Mus musculus: one gene and its partners. The protein of the gene in region 1 purifies or fractionates together with the protein of each later gene. This does not show direct contact. Links are inferred from orthologs where the notes say so. Each region holds a gene or a part of one and is shown in the gene's direction. Other genes may lie near its edges.

The links. The genes of interacting proteins can lie anywhere in the genome.
Region 2: the proteins of Ppp2r2b (region 1) and Sertad4 purify together in Homo sapiens (co-immunoprecipitation; 3 studies listed by BioGRID and IntAct, with this or other methods). This does not show direct contact. The link is inferred for Mus musculus from reciprocal best matches to the Homo sapiens genes PPP2R2B and SERTAD4.
Region 3: the proteins of Ppp2r2b (region 1) and Ppp2r1a purify together in Homo sapiens (co-immunoprecipitation; 9 studies listed by BioGRID and IntAct, with this or other methods). This does not show direct contact. The link is inferred for Mus musculus from reciprocal best matches to the Homo sapiens genes PPP2R2B and PPP2R1A.

What each region holds. Positions count from the first base shown.
Region 1 is NC_000084.6:42,896,709-42,900,651, reverse strand, and holds the start of Ppp2r2b (serine/threonine-protein phosphatase 2A 55 kDa regulatory subunit B beta isoform), read left to right. Parts: upstream 1-1,143; 5' UTR 1,144-1,837; coding exon 1,838-1,907; intron 1,908-3,943. UniProt on the Homo sapiens protein: The B regulatory subunit might modulate substrate selectivity and catalytic activity, and might also direct the localization of the catalytic enzyme to a particular subcellular compartment.
Region 2 is NC_000067.6:192,845,753-192,849,252, reverse strand, and holds part of Sertad4 (SERTA domain-containing protein 4), read left to right. Parts: intron 1-2,037; coding exon 2,038-2,880; 3' UTR 2,881-3,500.
Region 3 is NC_000083.6:20,962,454-20,966,405, forward strand, and holds the end of Ppp2r1a (serine/threonine-protein phosphatase 2A 65 kDa regulatory subunit A alpha isoform), read left to right. Parts: intron 1-120; coding exon 121-263; intron 264-2,785; coding exon 2,786-2,877; intron 2,878-3,001; coding exon 3,002-3,018; 3' UTR 3,019-3,452; downstream 3,453-3,952. UniProt on the Homo sapiens protein: The PR65 subunit of protein phosphatase 2A serves as a scaffolding molecule to coordinate the assembly of the catalytic subunit and a variable regulatory B subunit.

The sequences.
Region 1 (3,943 bases):
TTATAGTCCGTCTGGATCATAGTGGTTCACTTTGGTCCCAGCCTCTCTTCTGCATTCATGGACTTAACATGCTGAGGGCACACGGAAGGTATTCTGAACACCTGAGCAGAGACGCTTCCTGTGTCTGTTCAAAACAAAACGCAAAGGGCTATGGAGAGTGGGCTCCTTCTCGCTGAATAAATATATTCATCCATAACTCGCCCTGTCTGCGGGCATAGACTGTGCTCTGCCTGTGGACACCGGCGCGTTTCGTTTCTTCCTTCCTTCCTTTCTTCCTTCCTTCCTTCCTTCCCTTCTTTCTTTCTTTCTTTCTTTCTTTCTTTCTTTCTTTCTTTCTTTCTTTCTTTCTTTCTTCTTCTTCTAATTCTTCTTCTTCTTCTTCTTCTTCTTCTTCTTCTTCTTCTTCTTCTTCTTCTTCTCTCTCTCTCTCTCTCTCTCTCTCTCTCTCTCTCTCTCTCTCTCTAGACAGGGTTTCTCTGTGTAACCCTGGCTGTCCTGGAACTCACTCTGTAGACTAGAGGCCATCTGCCTGCCTCTGCCTCCCAAGTGCTCGGATTAAAGGCATGCGCCACCACTGCCCGGCGGTGCGGGTTCTGAACACCAGTTCCTCACAGTTAGATGTTAGCCTGCTTGGAAAGAAATCGGACAGGATGGCAGTCTCGAAGTTCTGGCCCCTGCTCTGCTTTCTAGTCCAAGCCGGGGGGCTAAGCTGTGAATAAAGCTCACCCTTTAACTTCAGCTCAAGGGGCAGTCTACATCATATCCAGTTAACAAAGGAGACCTAGGTGCTGACTTCTACCCAAAGGAACCTACTTCTAAACACTGTCCTGAATGAAGTGCAGGCAGGTGTAAGGAGCAAAGCAGTGAGCTAAGGGCCTCCGTGCACAAGCCAGCCCCTGCCCTTGGCTGTATGGCACCAGAGGGGAAAGATTGGAACAGCTCATCCACGCCTTGTTTTTTCAGTGAACCAGCAATCTACCATTCGTTGTCCAGGTGTCCTTGGCTGCCGCTTGCACCCCTCTGCAGCAGAGAGCAGCCACAGCCTCTGCCTGGACTCCCACTGCTGCTGGGGAAGAGTCCCGGGGCTGCTGACGCGGTTGGGAGGAGCCTCGCCTTTAATGCACCAGCCGCCTCCAGCCTCCTGCAGCAGGAGCAGCAGCACCAGCAGCAGCTGCGAGTGCGCCCCTGTGGGTGTGAGGGTGAGAGCGCTGGCGCTGGCCGCAGCGCCCAGCCTAGCTCCCCGCCAGCTTTCCTAGCCCCCGCCTGCGGGAGCCGCCCTCTCGTGGGACCAGCACCCTCATCTCAGCAAGGCAAGCCTGAATCCTGCCCCTGCCATCTCGCCACTGCAGTGTGGGTCCGGAAAGGCACCATTTTGTCGCGGCTGCCCGCTCTCCCAGGGGGAGGAAAGCTCTTATTTTTTGCATTTTGGAGCCGCTGCCTGCCAAGGGGAACCTGTTGGGCATCTCCCCAGCCCTACTTGGGAACGTCTCCTGAGCGGTCAGGCAGGACTAGACCCCTCGTGGGGGACACAGAGCTTCCTGGTACCCGGAGGCAGAGGAGGCAGACGCAGCATCCTCGTTGGGAATTGGAGCTGAAGTGAGCGCACCGTGCGGGAGGAGCCACCGCATCCGCGGAGAACCGAGTGGAGGAGGTGACAGCTCCATTGCCGGGTTTTTATTTTCTTCTCTCTCCGCCTCCCCGTCTCCTCCTCAGGCTCGGACCATGGTGCAGTCCCACTGGCTCCCCTGCCCCCCTCTCCTGTGAGACTGGCTGCGGGGTGGGATCATGGATACTTGTCTGCCGGCTTCTGGTTCCCACGCAAGTAAGCCTGCTGTCAATGGAGGAGGACATTGATACCCGCAAAATCAACAACAGTTTCCTGCGCGACCACAGCTATGCAACCGAAGGTAATGCCAGCTCGGCCGCATTCCGCCGCTGGGGTCGGGTGCAAGTTGCGGATAGCCCTGCTTCATCAGTGGCCAGGCGCCTAGTGGCAGAGACTACTCCAGGCTCTGGGGCTGGAGCACTGGGCGGGGGCTCAGGCTAGGCTCTCGCTCAAGCCGCCAGAGGGGTTAGGGGTAAGGCAAATCCATCCGGGCTGGGCTCCGTGACTAGAGCCCCATGTTCAGCAGCAGGTGGACCAGGTACCCCCGGGAGTTAAAATGGCCTTTAGGGATGAGGCTTTTCAGGGTGCGGCTCCCAGGCAGACAGATGAACCCAAGGAAGCAGATGACACCTTCTTGTCCCAAGATGCTTACAAGAATCTTGGACTGAGATGAGAAGGGAGGGGCCCAGGAAGACCATGGTCCACCCCTCTCTGGGTACAGTGATGCTGAGGCTCTCGGTGACTGCAGCAAGAGTACAGCTTCATTTCTTGCCCATTCATTTCTCCGGCTCACTGGTTTACCTGCTCAGACAATCAACCCCCCCCTCCCCTAAAGGCCTTTCAGCAAAAAGTAGGGGAGCCCTCTCCCCTTGAAAAAACATTAGCCAGAAATTTTTAAAAAGGTAGCTGGGGAATCATGATTCGCGGCGGACGAATGAGGCTGACACGTGGGGCGAGCAGCGGGATCTGGGTCCGTGGGGCCTTTAAAAATCACCATTATGAATTCTGCAGCAGTACTTTCTGCTGAATCAACAGCCAGCAGAAAGCAGGAGGGTTCAGCAAGCTGAGCTTTGCCAAGAGGTGAAATTGTGTTCGCTCACTCTCTGGCTTGCTGGCTCTCTCTCCTTTCAGCCAGCTCGCTCTGACATCAGCCTAAATGCTGGGCAGGCAGGCAGGCAGGCAGGCAGGGAAAGTCAGCAGGTGGACTGCATCTTGCTCTTTGTGTACGAACTGAGTAAAGACGGTTTAGTTTTATTTGAATGACAAAACTTTTGCATTCGAGCTTCATTTTCTACCTGTGGGTGTTGATTTTTGACAACTAATATGAAGTATTGGAATCCCCGTGGCAATGTCCATGTGAGAAAATGCGTGCAGAAGTGCTTAGGGAAAATGTAGCAAGGCATATTAGCCTGTGACCCTTCTAGAATGCTAAAATTTCAGTAAGATTGGGTCACATCAGAAGAATGCACTGGATCAAGTAAGGGTGCGAGCTCTGAGGGAAATGGAAAAACTCATATACGGAGGGGAGGGCAACGGTAGCACCTTCTACAAAGATCTCTGGAAATTTTAGACAGAAGAATTCCAAGTGCTGTTGAAAATACTTTCGCCATTCATCACCATGTCTGGGAACCAGCAAGCCCAACGTGTCTGTAGTACTCAGACACACTGTAAGCTCGAAACCTTGGAGATGATTTCTTTTTAAGATGGACCACCCATCTCTGTCCCATGTTGAATAGCATTCTTGCTGATTCTTAAAAATCTTTCACAGCCGTGGTGTGATTATAAGTCTTTGTGCTTTATGACTGAGCATGACCAGGTAGCAATGACATCCAGTCATGCCATCCACCAGAGAGGTCAGTCTTGAATCTGTGAGCTTTGTGGTGGCTAGGAAGCTTTGTATTTGTGACTACAAAGAAAGAAGGTTCCCCCTGGTGTTTTCTTCTGTTACATTATGCAAGAAGGGGAAACCTAACAAACCAAGAAGGTGACTACATTGAAGCCAGGTGTATAAGAACGTTACTTGCAGGAGGAAGAAGTTTAAGATGGCATCCTTTATTGTTTCCAAGGTCCTGGATGCTACCTGTGTACCTATTCAGTGGCATTTTTATACATTCCAATTCTGGGTGGAATATTTAACAATGAAGCAAGGGTTTTTAATCAAAGAGCTTTAAATGTTTTCTGGTATATACAAATCAATCTATTAAACCCCTGTATATGGTCTTAGGGAAGGCATGGGAAGAGTGGGAAATGGAACAGAGCAAGAAGTTCTCTAATAGTCTCGGTCTGTGCATTTCATGGAGTATCCATTTCGTTGAGTCAGACAGTAAGGAAAGAGCC
Region 2 (3,500 bases), on another chromosome or scaffold:
GTAAGCCTAACAAACTCTTTCCCTCCCCAGCTTGCTTTTTGGCTGTGGTGCTTCCTCACAGCACTAGAAACCCTAACTAGGACAGAGGCTGTGTTCCTTCTCACACTCCTTGAAGAAAGAACCAGAAAGAGATTCTCTCCCCAGATATAATATTACGTAAGGAAACACATCCTTTTGCCTGTGGTTTAATATTCCCAGGTTGAGGGATAGGGCTGCTCTGTCGTATCATGTGGTGGAGATGCACTTGACTGCGAGGCCACTGCTTATGCTAATTGGGGTTTTCCTGACCTCCTGAGGTCAATGAATCGTCCCTTGGATGCATGCACAGAAAGCAGTCATGCTCTTCCTGATATATCCTAGCATATGTCAAGTTTGTCAAAATTCAGAATTCATTCCCAAGGAAGGAAACAAAGATAGCTATTTTTCTTTTGACAAACGTAAAGAAATAACACCGTAGGGGGAAAGCCCATGAGGTGAAGAGCTGGGCATGAGAGCATTAGTTCTTCTTCCATACAGTGCCTTCCCTCCAGACCTCCACTGACCTTACCAAGGAGGAGCAGCCAGAGCCCAGTGGCCCAGGTGCTGAGGCCCTATGCAACCCATTCATTCTGTCTCCCCTCTCCCACCCTTCCCCAGCCTTCAGATGTTGCTTCTGCCTGTTTGTAAAAAGGCACCCATGTTTATTTCTTTAGCTTCTGTGTTGTGGCTCCGTGAGTTTTCCAGTTGCTACTGGGATGTGCCAGGTTTCATGTCACATCCTGTGATCCCAGCACTTGAAAGGAGGGCAGGTGGAATTGCTGCAAGTTCAGTCTGGGCTCTGTTGTGAGGTCCAGGGCCGCATAGGCTACATAGCAAAGCCATGTCTCGTTTTTATTTTATTTTTACAAAAACAAGTTATCGATAATAACAATTTTTAATGGTTTTGCAGCATCCTTCACCCAGTGACAGCCTCACACAGCCCAGGACTGACCCCCCCCATCCCCCACCCCCAGTTTCTCTCTGCTTCTCTATTTTCTGCCCCAAAGCCCTCCGTTTCCAGGTGCTTAGTTTGAGCTTCATTGGCTGTACTTTCCCTCTTACTTAATAAGGCAGACGACAGGTATGCAAAGCCAGCAGTGTTCCTTGGTGGCCTCATCCACACTCTGCCATGCCCACTAGAACCTGTATCTCAAATCTGTAAAAGACATGCGCTGGGGCTGGAGAGATGGTTCAGCAGTTCAGAGCACTGGCTGCTTTTGCAGAGGACCTGAGTTCTATTTGCCAGCACCCATTTGGCAGCTCACAACTGAATGTAACTCAAATTCCACAGAGTCCAGTGTCCTCTTCTTGCCTCTCACGGATGGGGATCAGGCACTCACATAGTGCACAGACAAACGTGCTGACAAACACTCATACACATAAAAATGATTTTCAACTGTTACGGATGGCACAGACCTTAATTCCATCCAGGTGACAGAGGCAGGCAGATCTCTCTGAATTTAAGGCTAGCTTGGTCTACATAATGAGTTCCAGGTCAGCCAAGGATGCATAATAGAGAGACCATGTCTCAAAAAAATCAATTAATAGTAGTAAGACTCTTTGAAAAATGGGTGAATTTTAAAACATACTGCTGTGAAATGCATGCATGTGCCTCTGCACAAAGACATGTGAACTATAGCTTGATATATTTCACCCAGAGCATCCCTTGTCACTGACAGCGAGGTCTAGCTGAATCCTCTCAGTGCTGCTTCAGATTACCTAGCTCTTAACCCTACAACAATTGCTGGCCTGACCTCTGACCTCCACAACAATTGCTGGCCTGACCTCTGACCCCCACAACAATTACTGGCCTGAGCTCTGACAGCTCTGGTTGACTGTGTCTAAGCTTCTCCTTCACTGTGACTGAGCCTTCTGGCTGGGCCCTCCTCAGGTCCACACTAGTAAGTTAGGAAACAGGAGGGTTTGGGGGTATCCACCGCAATGGGGCCAGCCTCTAAACGAGTGATACTCTTTTCACAAGCTTTGTTTCATAAGGGTTCTCCTGCCTCTGGTTTTCAGACCATCTCCATTTTCGAGGAGCGAGCACACATCCTTTACATGTCCTTGGAGAAGCTCAGGTTCATCGATGACCCAGAAGTGTACCTGCGAAGGTCTGTTCTGATCAACAACCTGATGAAGAGGATCCACGGGGAGATTGTCATGCAGAACAGCTGGTGCCTCCCTGCCTGCTCCCTCGGTGGCACCCCCGCCCAAGAGTGGTTCCTGGCTCAAGACTGTCCTTACCGGAAACGGCCCCGGGTGGCCAAAGAGGAGTGGGAAAAGATCCACACTTGCTGTTTTTATCAGGAGTGTGGTGGTCACTGCCTGAACCTACCCCTCTCTGTCAATACAAGTGTTGGAAGCACCTCGGCCGCCGCTGTGGCCTCGGCTGCCTCTTCCTCTTCCTCCCCATCCACCTCTTCTTCATCCTCCCCATCCTCATCCTCCTCTCCCTCTCCCTCTCCCTCTTCCTCCTCCTCCTCCTCCTCCTCTTCCCCTCTGCCTTTGCCTAGTTGCTCCCACCATGTGGACTTTGACATAGGCAGTGCACCTATTTACAAGAGCCAAATACCCGCCAGCGAAATCTTTGTCACTAACATTAGGTCGCTTGGTGTCCAGGAAAAGGTCAAATTCAACAATGATGGGAAAGTAAGTCACGAAACCAGCAGAGATGGTGATGCCCTCGGCCAAGAACCTGTGGGGAACGACCTTGATTTTGAGTGCAAAGGCCAATTTTACGATTATTTTGAGACTGGATATAATGAGAGAAACCGTGTGAGTGAGTCTTGGAAAAAGTCTTTGAGGAAAAAGGAGCTTTCTCCGAGCAGCAAACTGTGCTGCAACAGAGGGGGTAAAATGTGATGCCCCCCACTGGCGCGGAAGCACGCACAGCATGATCAGTTTTTACTTTGGATTTTGTAGTTTTGTACAACAGATAAAATCATGCAGTGAACACCACGCCGGGTTGTCTCATTGCCTGGAGATCAGATTGCACAAAACATCTGTACAGTAGGCATCTGCAAGCCACTTATTCATGTGATTTTTTGCCAAGGAAAGCCAACTTCATGTTTCAAAGTATACCTTAGTTTTCTTTTCTTTTTCTTTTTTCTTTTCTTTTTTTTTTGTAAAAAAAAATCAGTAGAATAGATAGAAGAAAACATGCCCTCGTTATATTCCCACTGCCCCTCCAAGGAACCTGCGCTAGCCAAATGCAACATGTTTGCCAGTTAATTAGGTAGTTACTTGGTAAACAAATCAATATAACCAGCAGAGGTGCCTGCTTCGATGTGATGCAGTATTTTTCTTTCCTGAGTAAAAGACTGGAGACAGGAAGCTAGATGAAGTGGTTTCATGAGCTGTGTCATGTTTGTACTGGACAGGTTGGGGCAAAATGAAGCGCACCTGGCAAGACAGCAATCTAGGATCTGTGGAGACAGTTCCCCACAAGCTCCTTGCTTGCCTGTGATGGGTAGTGGGTGGCT
Region 3 (3,952 bases), on another chromosome or scaffold:
ACCCTTCCATGTTGCTCCTGGGTCCTGATGATGACTCAGGCAGCATATTCAGAAGAAGATATATGGGGACTTAGCAGTAAGCCTTGCATAACTGTACTTCTGCCATTCACTGGTTTTCAGGTGTTGTCTGAGGTCTGTGGACAGGATATCACCACCAAGCACATGCTGCCCACAGTTCTTCGTATGGCAGGGGACCCAGTTGCCAATGTCCGCTTCAATGTGGCCAAGTCACTCCAGAAGATAGGACCCATTCTTGATAACAGGTGAGGTCTGGGGGTTCTAAACATCTTAGATATTTAAAGACAGAACTCAGGGTCTGATTTCTTTATGCGTTGTGACCCATGCCTGTTCTTTCCTCTCCACAAAGTCTATCTTCTCTGTTTTAGAATAAGAATTCATTTCTCTAGAGTACAATGAAAAAAGAAAGGCAGAGGCAGGTGGATTTCTGAGTTCGAGGCCAGCCTGGTCTACAGAATGAGTTCCAGGACAGCCAGAGCTATAGAGAGAAACCTTGTCTCAAAAAACAAGAAGAAAAAAAAAATACATGTAATGAAATATACTTAACATTTCTAGGGAAACTATTAAGCACTGCCACAGGAAGCTTTGGTAAACATATAGTCTTCATTCCCTGTACTTATATTTGAGGCCATTATATATCAGCAGAGTTTTAGTAGGAACTGGCCTGGGAATGCAGAGTGCTTGGCTAGCCCATACATCCTAAAGAACAAAACTATGCACCTCAAGTCTACCTGACACATAATTTAGAAACAGCATGGGGCAGGGACAGGATATTCATGTCTCACTAGAATATTTTCTAGAGCACTCTGGTACCATTGTAGTTTGATGGCTAAGTGTCTGTCTTCTAAAACTGACTGGATCAGTTGGTTGCCCACATAAACCCAAACAGAATTTCTGCCTCTACATAAACAAATTAGTTTTTGAGCTAGAACCAGCATGATGAATAAAACATGTAGAAAATATAGAATGTCTTCATGTCTTGAGTTGGACATAAACCTGCTAAGATGCCAAAAGAAGTGATTGATAAGATGGCCCTCAAGAAAATGAAAAGCTGTGTATCAGAAGGCTAACCTGACAGTGTGGAGATGTTTCTATATAAAGAACTCCTCTAGTATCCTATATATAGGAAGATAAAGAATTCCCATGATACACATGGGAAGAAGACATAGAGGAAAGTATGGCATATGACATTCAAGTGGGAGTATGGGAAGATGAGAGCTACAAGTAGGGTTGAGAGAGGGGAGGAAGGAAGGTAGTCAAAATTAATATATGTGAAAATATGAGAATGAGGTAACTTGTGCTTTTGTTTCAGTTTAAAAGTACTGTCTTCACATGCTCAGTGAGGACATCGACTAGGTGCTCTGCAGTGTACGCTGTTAACATAGCACAGGTTACAGCTGAAATACTCGGCTGAACATCGTGCTATGGGAATTGTAGTGCAGATAGGATGAGCATTTTAACTGGAAGGATCCAGCTAGCTAGATGTAGACCCTAATCCAGCCCTTGCTTTTAGACAGTACTCAGTGTTGCTACCCCCTCAACCCCTTGAAAATGTGGTGGGCTTATATATTATAATCATAAGAAAGAATAATCCAAATGCTGGTACAGAGTATGAGTTAAAATAGTTAATATGGGTCTGGAGAGATAATGGTTCAGGGGTTAAGAGCACTAGCTTCTCTTGAGAGGGCCTGGACTTATCTCACATCATGTGTACTTAAGATCACTCATGCTTTTAATTCTAGTTCCCATCTCGGGCTTCTGAAGACATACAGATGGTGTCCATTCACATGCACATGTGCCTGGGCGCACACACACAAACACACACACACACACACACAGCAGGGAAGAGGAATGCAAAGAGTGCGGGGTGGGGGGGGTTGGGGGGCAGAAAGAATATTCGAGGGAAAAAGTCAAAATGCTAGGCACAGTGGTAGGCAGCTGCTGAATTCCCAGCACACTCTGGTGGTTGATGCTTGAGGGTCGAGTTGTAGACCAGGATGGGATATGTAGCTTGAGATAACATAAAGTTATATAGAAAGACCTGCTTCCCAAAAAGTAACAAAGCAAGCAAGCAAATAACAACAAAAGCATAACTCTAGGAGGTAGAAATGAAGACAGTGGTTATATGGAGGATAGAGGAGCGGTCTGCCAACATTTGATGCCTGTGTGTCTCATAGTTGCTCCACAGCCTTTCTCTCCAAGGTCTGTCTTCCTTCCTTACAGGATAGGCATATTCCTCCATGTCTCCTTACATAAAGAGTATATGCCACTTCTAGGCCCCTTAAAACCAAGAAGCCTTTGATCATCTTGCCACTTACTGGCCTTGTCTTGTAGTCTTGGCTTATCTGAGCAAGAATCTAGAGTGATATATTTTTGTATTCATACTAAGTATACAATACCTCAGTGAACATGGATTCAGTCACTAAAGGAATCTTTTTGCTCAGCTTCAAGGCCTGTGGGCTCTACTTTGTCAGACTTGCTCATGTCCTGTGCTAACCCAAGAGCTTTCCCTGCTTAACTATTTGATTACAAGCCTAGAGATCAGGAATTTTCCATGTGTATGCTTTGTGTGTTCATGTTCTATACTCTGCCTTATGATTTGGTGTGTTCCTGTCTTGATACTTACCTTCACCGGAGCCCTCTTTCTACCTGTGGGCACAACTCCTCCACCCCACCCACCCCCGAACACACACACACACACACACACACACATCCATCCATCCAAGGCAAGACTATCTCACTATCTTCTTTTCCCTTCACTTTCCAGCACCCTGCAGAGTGAAGTCAAGCCCATCCTGGAGAAGCTGACCCAGGACCAGGATGTGGATGTCAAGTACTTTGCCCAGGAGGCTCTGACTGGTAAGGGCCTGAGAGTGTAGAGCCTCTGGCAGAAGGGTGAGGGCTCCGGGGAATGGGGCAGCACTCAGAAATGTGGTTGGAGAATGTGGTGTGGTTCTGAGGCGTATTGTTCTTGTTTCCCCAGTTCTCTCTCTTGCCTGATGCTGGAAGAAGAAGCATTGCCGGCCTCTGGTGTCCACCCTCCAACCCCCACAAAGTTACCTCCCTTAGGGAGGTGGTGGGGGCAAATGACTGTCACTCCCTGTGCATGGTCTGACCCCAGGCTCCTCCCCCAGCACGGTTCGGTTCCTCCTCTGTAGCCTGGGAAGACTTCTCTGTCCACCTCCCAAGGGGCTGGAGCAGTACAAGTTGTTGCAGGACAGCAGCCTGAAAAGAAGGGCTGGTTGTTCCTGCCCATATTGGGAGAGATGGGAGCATCCTAGGTCACTGGCTTTTGCTGCTGTAATGGGGACCCCTCCCCCATCTACTTACCACCACCCTTTCCCAACCCCAACCATGTTTTTTGTGTGTCAATTGTGCCATTTTTATTTTATTCCTTTCCCTACTGTACACGGAGAAATAAAGGTGTAGAAATACTTGGTTCTCTAGTCTTAGTAATCGGAATGGAGGAAAGCCCACTGCCTTGTGGCTTGTTCTTTGCTTTCTCTGAGGAGACCTTCCTGCAGATGTCACTCCTGCTATCACAAGAGCGTGCACTTGGGATCCAGCAGGAGGGCAGCAGGAGACACAGCAGTATCCAGAGACTGCTCAGGGCAATGTCCTGTGATGCAGTTCAGGTTTTCAGGCACTGGCAGAGCAGAGTTCTCAGATTTGGACCGCATAACTGAGATAGCACCTGTGAGTGTGTGTGGAGCTCCCCATTTCCTGTGCCGTCACTTTGGGTGGTGAATCCATATGTAGCTCTGCAGGCCAAGCCTGCCTACCAGGAGATTTGGTTAGGGCCCTGTGAAAAGTCTCCGCACACACCTACACCAGTGCTTTGTAGGAAGTCTTTATGAAGATAGAACCAGCCAGGCACCACCATGTTCTCTCTCCATAGATTTTTCCAACCAAAATCAGAAATCCTGTTTAAAAA